Coturnix japonica: one gene and its partners. The protein of the gene in region 1 binds, or shares a complex with, the protein of each later gene. Links are inferred from orthologs where the notes say so. Each region holds a gene or a part of one and is shown in the gene's direction. Other genes may lie near its edges. The genes, in order: TCTN1, TMEM237 and B9D1.

Region 1 (3,647 bases):
GTTTATCAAGAAGCCAGTTTTGAAGAGGCTCCAAACCTAGATCTGTTTCTGAATATTGCTTTACAGTGGCTTGATTTGGTAACAGTCACGTCCTTTACACCTAAATATGCTCACATGGCTACAAACTTCTTTGCAAATATTATGGCTTTGTCTGTCAGATCACATTATAGCTTTTTTCACGGGCTTAAAACTCCCACTCTTGTGAGGTCAGAAACAATGGGCAAAATAGAGCAAATAACAAGCATTGAAAATACTGCTTAATTTTGAACTTCAGTTTCTTCTATTTTCTGGGCCTGTTCTTACTGCAGCTGAGGATACAATACATCTCTACAACGTAGCTGAGCGTTTCTTAAGCATGGAAGAAGGAAAACAATACTTACATAGTTTTAAATTCCTTTCTTGTAGGTCCATACTCTTATCTACTTGTTCTAATTAATATCTAAAATGTTTCATTTTCAGGTGAGTTATCATATTACATACACAGACGCAGGAGAAATAATAGAAGCAGCTGCTTCTTTTGTCTTGGGAGCAGTTAACAAAGAAACACTTTCAATACAACAGAGCTTTGAAATCAGCTTTACTCAGGTAACTGCTACAGATGCTATGGATGACTTGTTGAAAGACATTTAATTACAAAACTTATTAAACTTGAATCAGAACAATTGTTAGCAGCAAGGTAAAATGTTACATGTCCTGGCTACACAGATGAGGCAGCATTTCAGAACTGGGCATTAAGGGTCTCCAAAGTCTGTTTTTGATGCTTAGAAGACTCACCTTGTTGCTCTGTACAAGAGTATCCAGCAAAAGCAAAGCCTGTCCCAGTATCAGAGAACAGCTGCAATCTTATAGAAAAACTTCACTACTGTTCAAGGCAGTTAATAACCAGAAAAACACTGAAACATTTCAGCATTTTCTAAATACTTCGGTACAAGATAAGAAGTAATACTGTAAATTTGTATTGCAGGTAAATACAAATCCAGTTCCTTTCAGTGGTAATCCTGGTTATGTTGTTGGACTGGCTGTAAGAGCAGGCTTCAAGCCACAAGGATATCCTTTCCCCATTGAAATTCTGTTTTCAGCACTTGTTCTGGACCAACTTCCCTGAGACTTTCTAGCATGAACACCTTATGCATTTAATCTGTTATTTACTGAAAGTAAATGGATGCTTTTTGGCTATGTTCTAGAAGTGACCAACGTCTCAATCCTCACTGCAATCTCCTGGAACTGCTTAGTGAGGTAGATTCAGGTCTTTGTTGCATGCTCTAGTGCTTCATCATGGTTTAAAAGTCTTGGGTTAGTACAGCATTTTTAGATGAACCTTAAGGATCTCGCTACAGATTCTTTCTTTGTAATCCACAAGTACTGAATTTCCCTTTAACTGCACATTACATCAGGCATCATTCAGAGCACTAACAAATATGGTCAGCTCACTATTCTGCAAAGTACAGCCAACCAGGATTGTCTCACAGCACAAGAAGCCAGAATCCCAGTGTTATTTGGTTACAACATGATATCAGGCTGTAAGTTACGGTAAGAGAACTTACTTTTTTATTATTCAGTGCTTTTATAGCCCCATGGTAACCCTTTCCACTAGGATCTGTTCACATCCTGGGACATTCATACCACTGTAAGAGTATTGGGAATAAAGCATTTAATTATAAGAAATATCATTTAATTAACAATGGTCTCTCTTCTCTTGGAGAGATTGTGCACATTAGCAACTTTAGCTGGAAGGCTTGAACAGTGCGTGAGAGCAAGGAGAAATTACTTCCATGCCAAACCAATGGATTTTGCTTTAACTCTCTTTTCTCCTCCCCTTCTCCCACCCTGGAAGAATTACAGCAGCTATGAATTGCCAGCCCTTGGCCCAGGTCCTCCTAGATTTACTGATGGGACAAAGATTTCCTGAGTATGTGGCTTCATTTGGAAATTCTCAAGCCCAGAACGTGCTCGACTGGGTGCCAATAACTCACCTTCACACCTCAGAACAGGTAAAGATTAACTCTCCCCCCACTATTGCTCTTTCTATACCCTGTTCTGGGATCTGAACCTGTTCTCAGCTTAGGTTTCTCAGACCTACAGGAAAAAAAGTGCAAGAAAAAAAAATTAATAAAAACTTGGAGGACAGTTTCCCTGGGATACTCAGAAACAAGGAGTATTTCCCTCTTGCTGTAAGGAGAGCATTTGTGCCTCTTTGAGAGGGCTGAATGACAGCACCTCCTCAATTAAAGCTTATGTAGAGATGGGTTTTTTTGCATCTAAACAGTGGATGATTTCTATAAACAGGAGCACGAGTGTTAAAAAAAAGAAATAATCAAAAAATATTTAAGTCTGTACGCTTCAGATTTCTGCCCTGGCAAAGTTAAAGGTTTTCTACTGTCCCAGCAGCATTACTAAAATGTCATCACTATTAGGAAAGCCTTCTTGCTGAAGAGAGCCAGCTCAGCACGGCCATTAAGCATCAGCACTGCTCGGGTAGAACAGCCCTGCCTGAAGTGCACTTATGAAGTCAGTTTGTCACCTATGGAAAAATTTCAGGGACACCCCCAAGCTGAGGCTGTGCTGTCTGTGCAGGCAGCAGTCCAAGGCACAGGCACAGCTGAGCTGCTCTGCTGACCACCTGGAGTGAGCTTTTGGGGGGGGGGGGCATTGTGCTCATCTAATAAGATGAATAAATACTGTGGTTACTCCTGTACAAGTCAGATAATGAGAGGATTTCTGACACTTTTCAGAGCTCCTGCCAAATACCAGTAGCACTTGAAATAGAAGTGAAGTGGACTAAATACGGATCCCTAGTTAATCCACAAGCCAGAATAGTAAACGTTACAGCAACAACCACTACAACTACATTGAAGAAGGTATGTAATTAAATTACAGGATTTCAGATAAAAGGAATGGCTTGTTTTGCTTAGGTATCAGCTGTGCAACAGTGACCTGGTTAATCTCTCTAAAGATAACACTTCATATTAGAATGTATTGTACCCAACAGTTTCTGCTCCAACTCAAACATGACTGCGGGCTGCTTGCCAAAGCATACTTCAGTCAAATTTATACATCAGCCCTGAAAAGAAATGTGCAATTACACATGGAAAAATCTTATTACAAATAACAGCAAAAATCCAAAATCCAGTTTAAACAAAGCAGTCACACAAGGGGAAGAGCAAGGCTAATGCCCATCTGTATTCTCATTGCAGCTTCCTCAAGGAAGAGAAAGGACTATTCCTATAACAAGTTCTGTTGTTTTCACTGATGTTTCTTCACCTGCAGAACCAGGCTATAAAGCTTGGCCCACCATTAATGCCAAGTTACAACATGACTTTTTCTTCCCATTTGCCTAAGGTAAGTGCCCAAGATGAAAAAAAGGTAAAAAAAAAAAAAAAAAAAAGCTCATTTCTATTTTTAATCAATTTCCTAAAGAAACAAAGTTTATCCAGGCACTGTGTTGGCCCATCAGTTTCTTCCAAACTGTAGGTGTGCGGAGTTAAAAATTGTCCAATAGAAAAAAGGCACTCGGAGCTACTGGTCAGACCAATGGTCTGGGGCTCACAGCAAGCAGGCAGAAATGGCAGGAGCACAGCTCCATAGGAAACTAGGCTTCATCATTCTGTGAACAGCAGAGCTAATTGTTAATTAAAGTAATCATGTGG
Region 2 (4,140 bases), on another chromosome or scaffold:
GTGGGCCAGCACAATGAAATAGCAGGTGTTACTTTCAGAGCAGCCTTCATAACATATGCAGTACAGTTACTGTATAAGAAATCAAATGTTCCAGTGTTTTTATTAAAACATTTTTATTTTTTTTTTAAAGAGTAACGAAAACCTCAAACCAATGGGATGTGTTCTTGTTTTTGTGAAGCTCAGCATGTGGTAAGAGAGGGCTTAAAAAAGCCTGGTAAAGAGATATGATGACCAAACTATTCTTTGGAGTGAATGCCTGATTGCAGCTGTTGGAAATTCACAGGTTATACATTTGTGTCAACTGAAAATGCAGTCATAAACATACCAAAACATTCATGATTCTTTGTTTGGTTTTTTTGTTTGTTTGGTTGTTTTTTTGGTTTTGTTTTTAAGTTGAGTTAGTGCTGCACTGCATCCTCCATGTCCCACACCAGCCCAGGCAGTGCTGATTGCACACCGATATGTGGTTGTTGTGAGCAGTGGGTGCACACCTGAGGTCACTTGGGCTGCCACAGTATTTTAGCAGGGCTTGGCTTTTATTCCATCAACTCAAGTGACTGAAAACTGACAAAATATGGATTTATTATAGAGGAAAATCATATCCAAAGCCCCTTTTCTTATTGGTTTGAGTCAAGGCAGCACGTTCTCTTCACCAAAGAGTACAGTGACTATGGCTAACAAATTCCTCACTCTCTTCATCTCACATTACAGGTTTATTGGACTCAGAGGAAACAACTTATCCTGTCGGCCTGGTTCCTCCTGGAGAAAATCTACTGGAGGAGGTTGCGCTGCCTATAAAGAAGTTATTCATGTAGTAAGCCTGCTCTTGCAGCTAGCACTGTGCCAGCTTATAGTGAAGTCAGAGCGGGGTCCTTGGCAGGAAACACACTGGAAAGCAGAGCCCTGCATGGCCCTGGAATGGGGTGAGTACAAGCAGCGGGAGCCGGGCTGGTGCATGAGCTGGTACTTTGCCCCTCGCAGCAGCGGGATGTACATTGAAAAGCAGCTGCCAGAAAAGCACAGCATCGGGTGTTCGTTCCCTTTGCAGTTTGATTTTCTTTTAACTTAGAGCTTGTCACTTCATTTGCAAATAGTGTCACTCATAACGAGGCGAACGAAGCCGGAATCCCGGTCTGTTCAAGGCCTCGCTTTCCCCGTCGCCGCACTGAGGATACCGGCTGTGCCGCCGAGGAGCGCGGCCGTAGCGGCGGGGCGGGGCGGAAGCGAGCGGCGGCTCCTCCCTGCGGGGCTCGGGACGGCGGCGGGGGCGGCATGGCGGAGCCGCGGGCGGGACCCGAGCGGGTGAGGGCGGCGGGGCTCCCAGAAGGGCGGGGGGGGGGCCGGGCCTAAAGCCTTCCCCGGCCTAGGCCGCGCTGTGGGCGTTGGCGGCGGTTCGGTGCGGCGGTGGGTGGGGGGCTTCGAGTTTGAAGAGCCGGCCCCCGTTGTGCCGCTGGGGCGGCCGTGGGTGTGTCTCGTCGGAGGGTTCCCGTGGCCCTGCTCACCGAACGGCACCGGGGGATGGAGTCTCCAAATGGCCATCTCGTGCAGCCGCCCCCTTGCTGTGGCCTGCGGTGTGCTCCTCCGGGCCATGGGCAGCTGCAGCTGAGGGCTGGAGATCTCTGCCATATCCTAGATAATTAACGATAGTTATCGCTCAAACGATGATGAAGGCAATAATGAGCCCCGAGCTAAACTTCGCTTTAAGCTTCCTCGTGCGGCGAGTCTCACTTAGCAGGTGAAAATCCCCGAGCAGAGCTCACCTGAACCTTTACCAGCACATAGAGCAATGGGGTTTGGGGCAGGTGCCATTTAGGACAAGCTTTGCTGCCAGAGCAAACCACCATTGATTCTAGCAGGAATAGTGCTGGGCACTGGCCCAGGGGCAGGGAGGTTTACAGCCAGCTAATCCGGGCAGCCAGAAGCTTATTTTTAGTTCAGAATTAGCAGAGGTTCAGCGTGAGCGACGTCAGGAGTGGAGAACTGTTCACAGTGCCTCTTCCAGGGAACTGCTTCCAATGATATGGGGAAAAAACAAGTGGTAAGTTGGGGGCCCTTGAGCTTTACTGGTCAGGCAGGCTTTTGTGTTGTTGGTATCAACTGAGTTCTTGTAATGTAGGAAATGTTTAATGCTATACTTCTTATGTATTATTATATAATACAAAATCATCCAGTGCAAGAACTGCATTTCAGATTGACAATAGGAGATATGTGTTTCTTACTCTTTATGTATTTGGTTGTGTATGAGAACCTGGTTTCAGAAGCATAACATAGATAGTGTGAGTTATTATTGCCTCTGAAAGCAGCTGTTCTCTGTGGAGTGGTTTAACAGACCTCGGGATGATTTTGCACTGTCAGAAGCTGACTTCTGTCTCTCCGTTATGTTTCAGCGCCCTCCACGTGCCCTCCCCCCAGTGCCAAGGTAAGATCAGTTCGTTCCACAGGATTGATTGTGGTTCTCTACTGCTGTGTTTTTAAAGGAAATGAAATGAAAGAAAATGAGTTTGAGTATCTGCACAGTCACAGTAGCTTTTTAAACATTTGCTTTTCTTGCTGCTTTGTTGTTCTAGAATCCCTCACAAGAATTATAAAGCATTTAACGTTTTTAGAGGCTGAGAAATTGACTCATTTTTAATTGAAGTTTACCTCACTTTTAATATTCAGGAAGATTAAACCTTTTAAAGTCTTAGACAAACATCAACTTCAGTTTTATTAGCATCTGTATCAGTTTTACTGATGTTTCTCTTTTCACTTTCTTCTTCCTTAACTCTTTGTTGCTGTTGTTTTGCTACATTCTTTGGTACGTTTAAATCACAAATCCTTCAGGACAGGGATTTTTGAAATCAAGCTAGGTGTTATCAAATGGAGACACAGGTGTTTATCAGTTTGACATAATATGGAATCATAGAATTGCTTAGGCTGGGAAAGACCTTATAGATCATCGAGTCCGACTGCATCCAGAGAAATCTGGGCTTTTTTCTTTTTTCCAGCATTTTAATGAGCAGTGTGGAAGGAAAAGCAATTCTACGGATTTTTATGGCATGATATGTCAGAATTCCTTCAAAGTACCTTAGGGCAAATGTGATGTTCATGATTGGCAACATATAAAGGTGTATTTTTAGTAATGTGTATGTTGTAATGTTTCATAACTTCTGTTAGTTTGTTACATGTCAGGCAAGTTTTAATTAACCAGGTGATTATCGCTTTTAATCTGATCTATAGCTGGCCAATCAAGAAACTGCACAGTCACGGACAGTGTTGAGTCTGGATGATTGCTTTGTACACTTAACCCTTTTGTGTACAGTTGCCAGTAAATAAACGTGGGAATGGAAATAAGGGGAATAATGAAATGAAAAAGTAGAGAGAATGTCACTGTTGTGAGTTGATTAAAAACTAACTCTCTTCTTACCTTTGCTCCTTTGGCGCTGCTCTTCAACACCTTTTCTCATTAAACGTGAAGTGGAAACCAGGGTGAGTTATTCTGTCATCAGAGAGAGTTGTAACCATCTATATAGTTCTTGTGTCATTTTATCCTCTCTTGAATCATAGAATCATAGGATTGCCTGGGTTGAAAAGGATCACAGTGATCATCTAGTTTCAGCCCCCCTGCTATGTGTAGGGTTGCCAACTGCTAGACCAAGCTGCCCAGAAGGACTGAAGGATTGATCCTTACACTCTTCCTAAATGCATGCAATCATGGGTATTCAGACTGTTGTTGTGAGAACTATCTGATCTTTTGTTCTTCTTACTAATTGCTAGTTCTGAGTTAGGGCAACTGTAATGTTGTCACTGTGTTCTGAAGAGTTCTCTGAAGTTTATTCTTCAGAGTATCATTCAGGTTTTCACTTAACATGTGCATGTGTATATTTAGCCTCTGTTACACGTAAGACAGATAAGTTATTTTGCTTTCCTGCTATCTACTGTACTTTTCCTGTTTCTGAACATTGGTGAATTGTCACCTGATCTGTAAAAGCTGAAATATGTCCTTGCTTTTAAAAAGGACTCTTTCTTAATTTGGAATGGTATGGTTGTTAAAAAAGGGAAATGAAGGTTTTTCCATGCTGTGCACATTGACTTTTGTTTCTGTTCTGCAGATGACATTCCACTCAGTCGTCCCAAAAAAAGAAAGCCCAAAGGAAAGAC
Region 3 (4,113 bases), on another chromosome or scaffold:
CCTGCAGCCAGCGCGGGGTCCCCAGTCCCACCGAGAGCCCCCCAACCCCCCAGGGCTGCCTCCTGGAGCCCTCCGACTTGGCTGACGAGGAGGTTCGCCACATTAACAGCTCAGCCAAAGACTGGGGGGAGCACTCGGAGGCTGGGAGCTGCTCCACATCACCATTCGTCTCGCCGGCCACATCGCCGGTGCCCCTGAAGAATTGCAGCACAAGCAGCCTGGTGGCAGGCAGCGGCAAGGAGAGGGACTTGAAGAAGTTTTACAGCATTGATACAAAGGGCTTCCTCACCAAGCCCAGCTGGGCGGATGACCAAAGGCGACACTCCATCGAGATCTGCCCCTCCGTCCGCGATGGGGACTGTGGCTTCGAGGAGCGCACCGAGGAAAAGCCGCGCTCCCCTGCCCACATCCAACCGGAGTCCGAGTACATCCATGGAGCCAGGAGGAAGAAGAAGATGAGCCCGCCCTGTATTTCTATAGATCCTCCCATGGAGGATGATGGCGGGGCGGCCTCACGCACCAAACCCTCTGAGAACAGCATGCTGCGCCGCAGGACCCCATCCTGCGAGTTCCCAGCATATCGAGAGCCCCTGGAGCCAGCGGAGGCGCAGCCAGGGGAGCCGGGCTGCAAAGCAGAGCGCCGTGCACAGCACTTGGCCATCCCCGGCTTCTCCTTCGAGCAGTCGGATGGCGGCTCCCTGAGCAGCCTCTCGGATCTGCTGGACAGTGGGCGATCCACACCGGACTGCGAACTGAGAAAGCCGGAGCCTTTAAAAACTCAACGGAGCAACAGTGAGAAAAGCAAAGAGCTGCTCAGCGTGGCCAAGAGCCCCGTCCGGATGCAGGACTTGGTGACTGTTGCGACAGAAGAAGACATCGACGAGCCCGTATAGCTGTCTGGGAGGGGGGTGCGGGGGGTCTCAAGGGCTTGACACCGACATGGGGTTGGACACCGAAGGGGCTGCGCGGCCGCGTGGCCACACTCTGGTTTTTCCCTTTCAAGCAGTCCCTTCTTCTTAAGCGCTGTGGAGGTTTGCAAAAAAACAAAAACAAAAACAAAAAACATTAAAAAAAAAAGAAAAAAGAAGAAAAATATTATTATTATTAATTATTATTATTATTATTTAAGAAGAAACCAAACAAACGGATGAAACGGTGCCGGGTTTCAGGGTGGGGGTTCAGAGGGGGCAAAGTGGATGTGGTCGGGGGGGGGGTGGCTCTCAGTCCTCTGCGCCCTCGGTCACATTGATCCGGGTGGAGGCGGATGGGGGCTGAGGGTTCTCTTTGTCGTTGGGGTGGGGGGTAAGGGGGCTCTTTTTGTTGTTGTTGTTTTGTTGTTGTTGTTTTGTTTTTAAAGATGCTCAACTTTTTACAAGGCACTTTTAGAGACGTCACACGCCGTGGGAGCGCCCTGGGGAATGGGAGCTGTACGTTGTCTGTATATCAGCAATTATATACATAGAAACGATGTACTTGTGAGATACAAAACGAGGAGAAAAGAGAAAAAAAAAATAGAAAAAAAAAGAAAAAAAAAAAAAACAAGAAAAAATACTCACAAAAAACTTCTTCTTCTTCTTCATAATGCACATATTTTTATAGAGAAACAATACTGGTTTTTTGCATTACGTGTGACTCCGCGACCGGGTGGTGTTTCTTTGGGTTTTATGTGGAACTGATTCTTACAGCCCTTCATTGTCCAAATGTTTCTGCTCTTCCTTTGCTCTCCTTTCCCCCCTATACCGCCACCATCAGCCCACAGCTCCTCCTTCCGCCGCCCCTTTCATTTTCCCTTTGTACTTTAGAGGTTGTGTCCTAACCAACAGCAAGGAACCAAATCACTACTGAATTGTAGCCAGTGCAATAATAAGTTATTCATTCTTCTCGTCTGTACAATGATCCTTTCGCTCGTTTTCTTTTTCTTCCTCCTTTTTTAACAGAAATTCAGGTTAAACGCTGCAATAATCTGAAGTACCGCGCACAAACGAGGTGTCCCACATTGCACAAACAAACAACAAACAGAGGCGAAACAATAAAAGGGAAAAATTTCAATCTGAAGAGATTCACAGAATAAATAGTGAATTATTTAAGACATGTATTTTGTTGCCTGCAGTTTGAAGTAGGTTGTTGGTGCAGTACGTCGAGGTGCAAAGAGCTGTTGGTGGCGGTCCATGTGAGCAGGCTGGGATCTGTTCTCCTCCTGGCTGTGAGGTCGCAATGGTGGCCATAACCCCTTCCATTCTTAGAGTGGTAATCAGCTCCAGTGAGGCTGGGAAAGGCCCCTCGGATCCCCAACCCAACCCCATCCCACTGTGACACCAAACCACGTCCCCCTGTTGTTCTGAACACCCCCAGGGTGGTGAACCCATCCCTGGGCAGCACTGCCAGCATCAGCGCTATCTCAGAGGAGGAATTATTCCTAATATCCAACCTGAACCCACACCCACATAGACGTTCCTCCACCACATTCCAGAGCCTTTTAAGTTCAAGTGAACACCGTTTTAATATATTTTAATATACATTTATTTAGTTTTGGGGGTTGATTTTCCATTCGTAGCCTCTATTCCCTGCTCCTTCCCCACTCCTCAGCCAGACCCTCTGCTCGGATCAGCTTCACCACAGAGCACTGACACCATGAGCATCATCAGCCCCAGCACTGCAACACCAGCAGCAAAAAGACACATTGGGGAGGGGAAAAACTATCAACCAACCAACAGAAAGAACTAAAGCAACCGTTCTCCTTTGGTTCGTTCCATGCCGCCTCATATTTATGCATCCACGTATATCTTCTGTTGTTTATGCATTCATTACTCGAAAGGAAATGTATCTTGTTTCACATGTATTAAACTGTATAAACTGGAAGCCTGGCTTGACTTTGTGAGCATCCCCAGGGACCTGCCTGCTCTGTGCAATCAGCAGCCAGGGGGGGATTATTGCAGTTATTCCTTCCCGTTGGTTTAATGAGGGATTCTGGAAAAGCACCATTAATTACCCAACATAACGAGGGGTGGGCGCCTCAGAGACCCCCGACCCGAAGCTTTTCTCCCCCCTGACAGCCCTGTCTCGATCTCCTTGCATTGCAGCATCACCTAGCGGCCATTTCCCGTGCTCTTTAGAAAGAGCCGCCCGAATTTGAGGGGGGGGGGTCTCCGAGGCCCCTCCCCGCATAGTTTGTCCCTTCCGCCGCTCCGTCCGTCCTCATGGCAACGGCCACCGGCAAGATGGCGGCCGCCAGCAGCCCCAGCGTCTTCATGGTGGCCGTCAACGGGCAGATCGAGAGCGGGCAGGTGAGGCCTTGTTCGGTCCTCGGTCCCGTAACCCATCTCCGGTCTGTGCCGTGTGGGCCGGGCCCGGCCCCGTTAACAGCCTCTCCATTGCAGTTCCCTGGGTTCGACGACCTCTACTGCAAGTTCTGCTTCGTCTACGGCCAGGACTGGGTTCCCGCAGCGGTGAGACCTCGTTTTGTGCCCCCGGCAGCACCGGGCTCACACCGAGCTCACACCGGGCTCACACCGGGCTCACACCGAGCTCACACCGGCTCCACACTCGGGCTGACACGAGCTCAAACCGAGCTCCACACTGAGCTCACCACCTAGCTCCACCTGCTCACCACCGGGTCACCACCGAAGCTCACACCGGGAGTCACACTGAGCGTGCACCACCGCAGCTCACAACTGACTGCTCACACCGAGCTCACACCTTCTCACACCGGCTCAACAGCGAAGCTCACACCGGCTCACACCGGGCTCACACCGAGCTCGACACCGGCTCACACCGAGCTCACACCGAGCTCACACCGGGCTCACACCGAGCTCACACCGGCTCACACCGAGCTCACACCGAGCTCACACCGGGCTCACACCGAGCTCACACCGAGCTCACACCGGGCTCATCACGGGCTCACACCGAGCGCACACCGCTCACACGGCTCACACGGGCCTCACACACCGAGCTCACACCGGGCTCCACACCGGGCTCACACCAGCTCACACCCGGGCTCACAACCATCTCACACGAGCTCACACCGAGCTCACACCGGGCTCAACCGACTCACACCGGCTCACACGAGCTCACATCGGGTCACACCGATCTGCACAACGCTCACACCGAGCTCAC

The links.
Region 2: TCTN1 (region 1) and TMEM237 share a complex: the UniProt entries of both Homo sapiens proteins name them as parts of the tectonic-like complex. The link is inferred for Coturnix japonica from reciprocal best matches to the Homo sapiens genes TCTN1 and TMEM237.
Region 3: TCTN1 (region 1) and B9D1 share a complex: the UniProt entries of both Homo sapiens proteins name them as parts of the tectonic-like complex. The link is inferred for Coturnix japonica from reciprocal best matches to the Homo sapiens genes TCTN1 and B9D1.

The regions. Positions count from the first base shown.
Region 1 is NC_029530.1:5,167,812-5,171,458, forward strand, and holds part of TCTN1 (tectonic-1), read left to right. Parts: intron 1-459; coding exon 460-585; intron 586-964; coding exon 965-1,047; intron 1,048-1,389; coding exon 1,390-1,530; intron 1,531-1,834; coding exon 1,835-1,991; intron 1,992-2,732; coding exon 2,733-2,858; intron 2,859-3,194; coding exon 3,195-3,338; 3' UTR 3,339-3,339; intron 3,340-3,647. UniProt on the Homo sapiens protein: Component of the tectonic-like complex, a complex localized at the transition zone of primary cilia and acting as a barrier that prevents diffusion of transmembrane proteins between the cilia and plasma membranes.
Region 2 is NC_029522.1:9,998,789-10,002,928, reverse strand, and holds the start of TMEM237 (transmembrane protein 237), read left to right. Parts: upstream 1-1,229; 5' UTR 1,230-1,272; coding exon 1,273-1,302; intron 1,303-1,370; exon of another isoform or gene 1,371-2,020; coding exon of another isoform or gene 2,021-2,038; intron 2,039-2,387; coding exon 2,388-2,419; intron 2,420-3,457; coding exon 3,458-3,468; intron 3,469-4,091; coding exon 4,092-4,140. UniProt on the Homo sapiens protein: Component of the transition zone in primary cilia. Required for ciliogenesis.
Region 3 is NC_029529.1:5,249,618-5,253,730, reverse strand, and holds the start of B9D1 (B9 domain-containing protein 1), read left to right. Parts: upstream 1-1,256; 5' UTR 1,257-3,197; coding exon 3,198-3,284; intron 3,285-3,377; coding exon 3,378-3,446; intron 3,447-4,113. Other genes in the region: CACNA1H (voltage-dependent T-type calcium channel subunit alpha-1H), read left to right, coding at 1-893. UniProt on the Homo sapiens protein: Component of the tectonic-like complex, a complex localized at the transition zone of primary cilia and acting as a barrier that prevents diffusion of transmembrane proteins between the cilia and plasma membranes.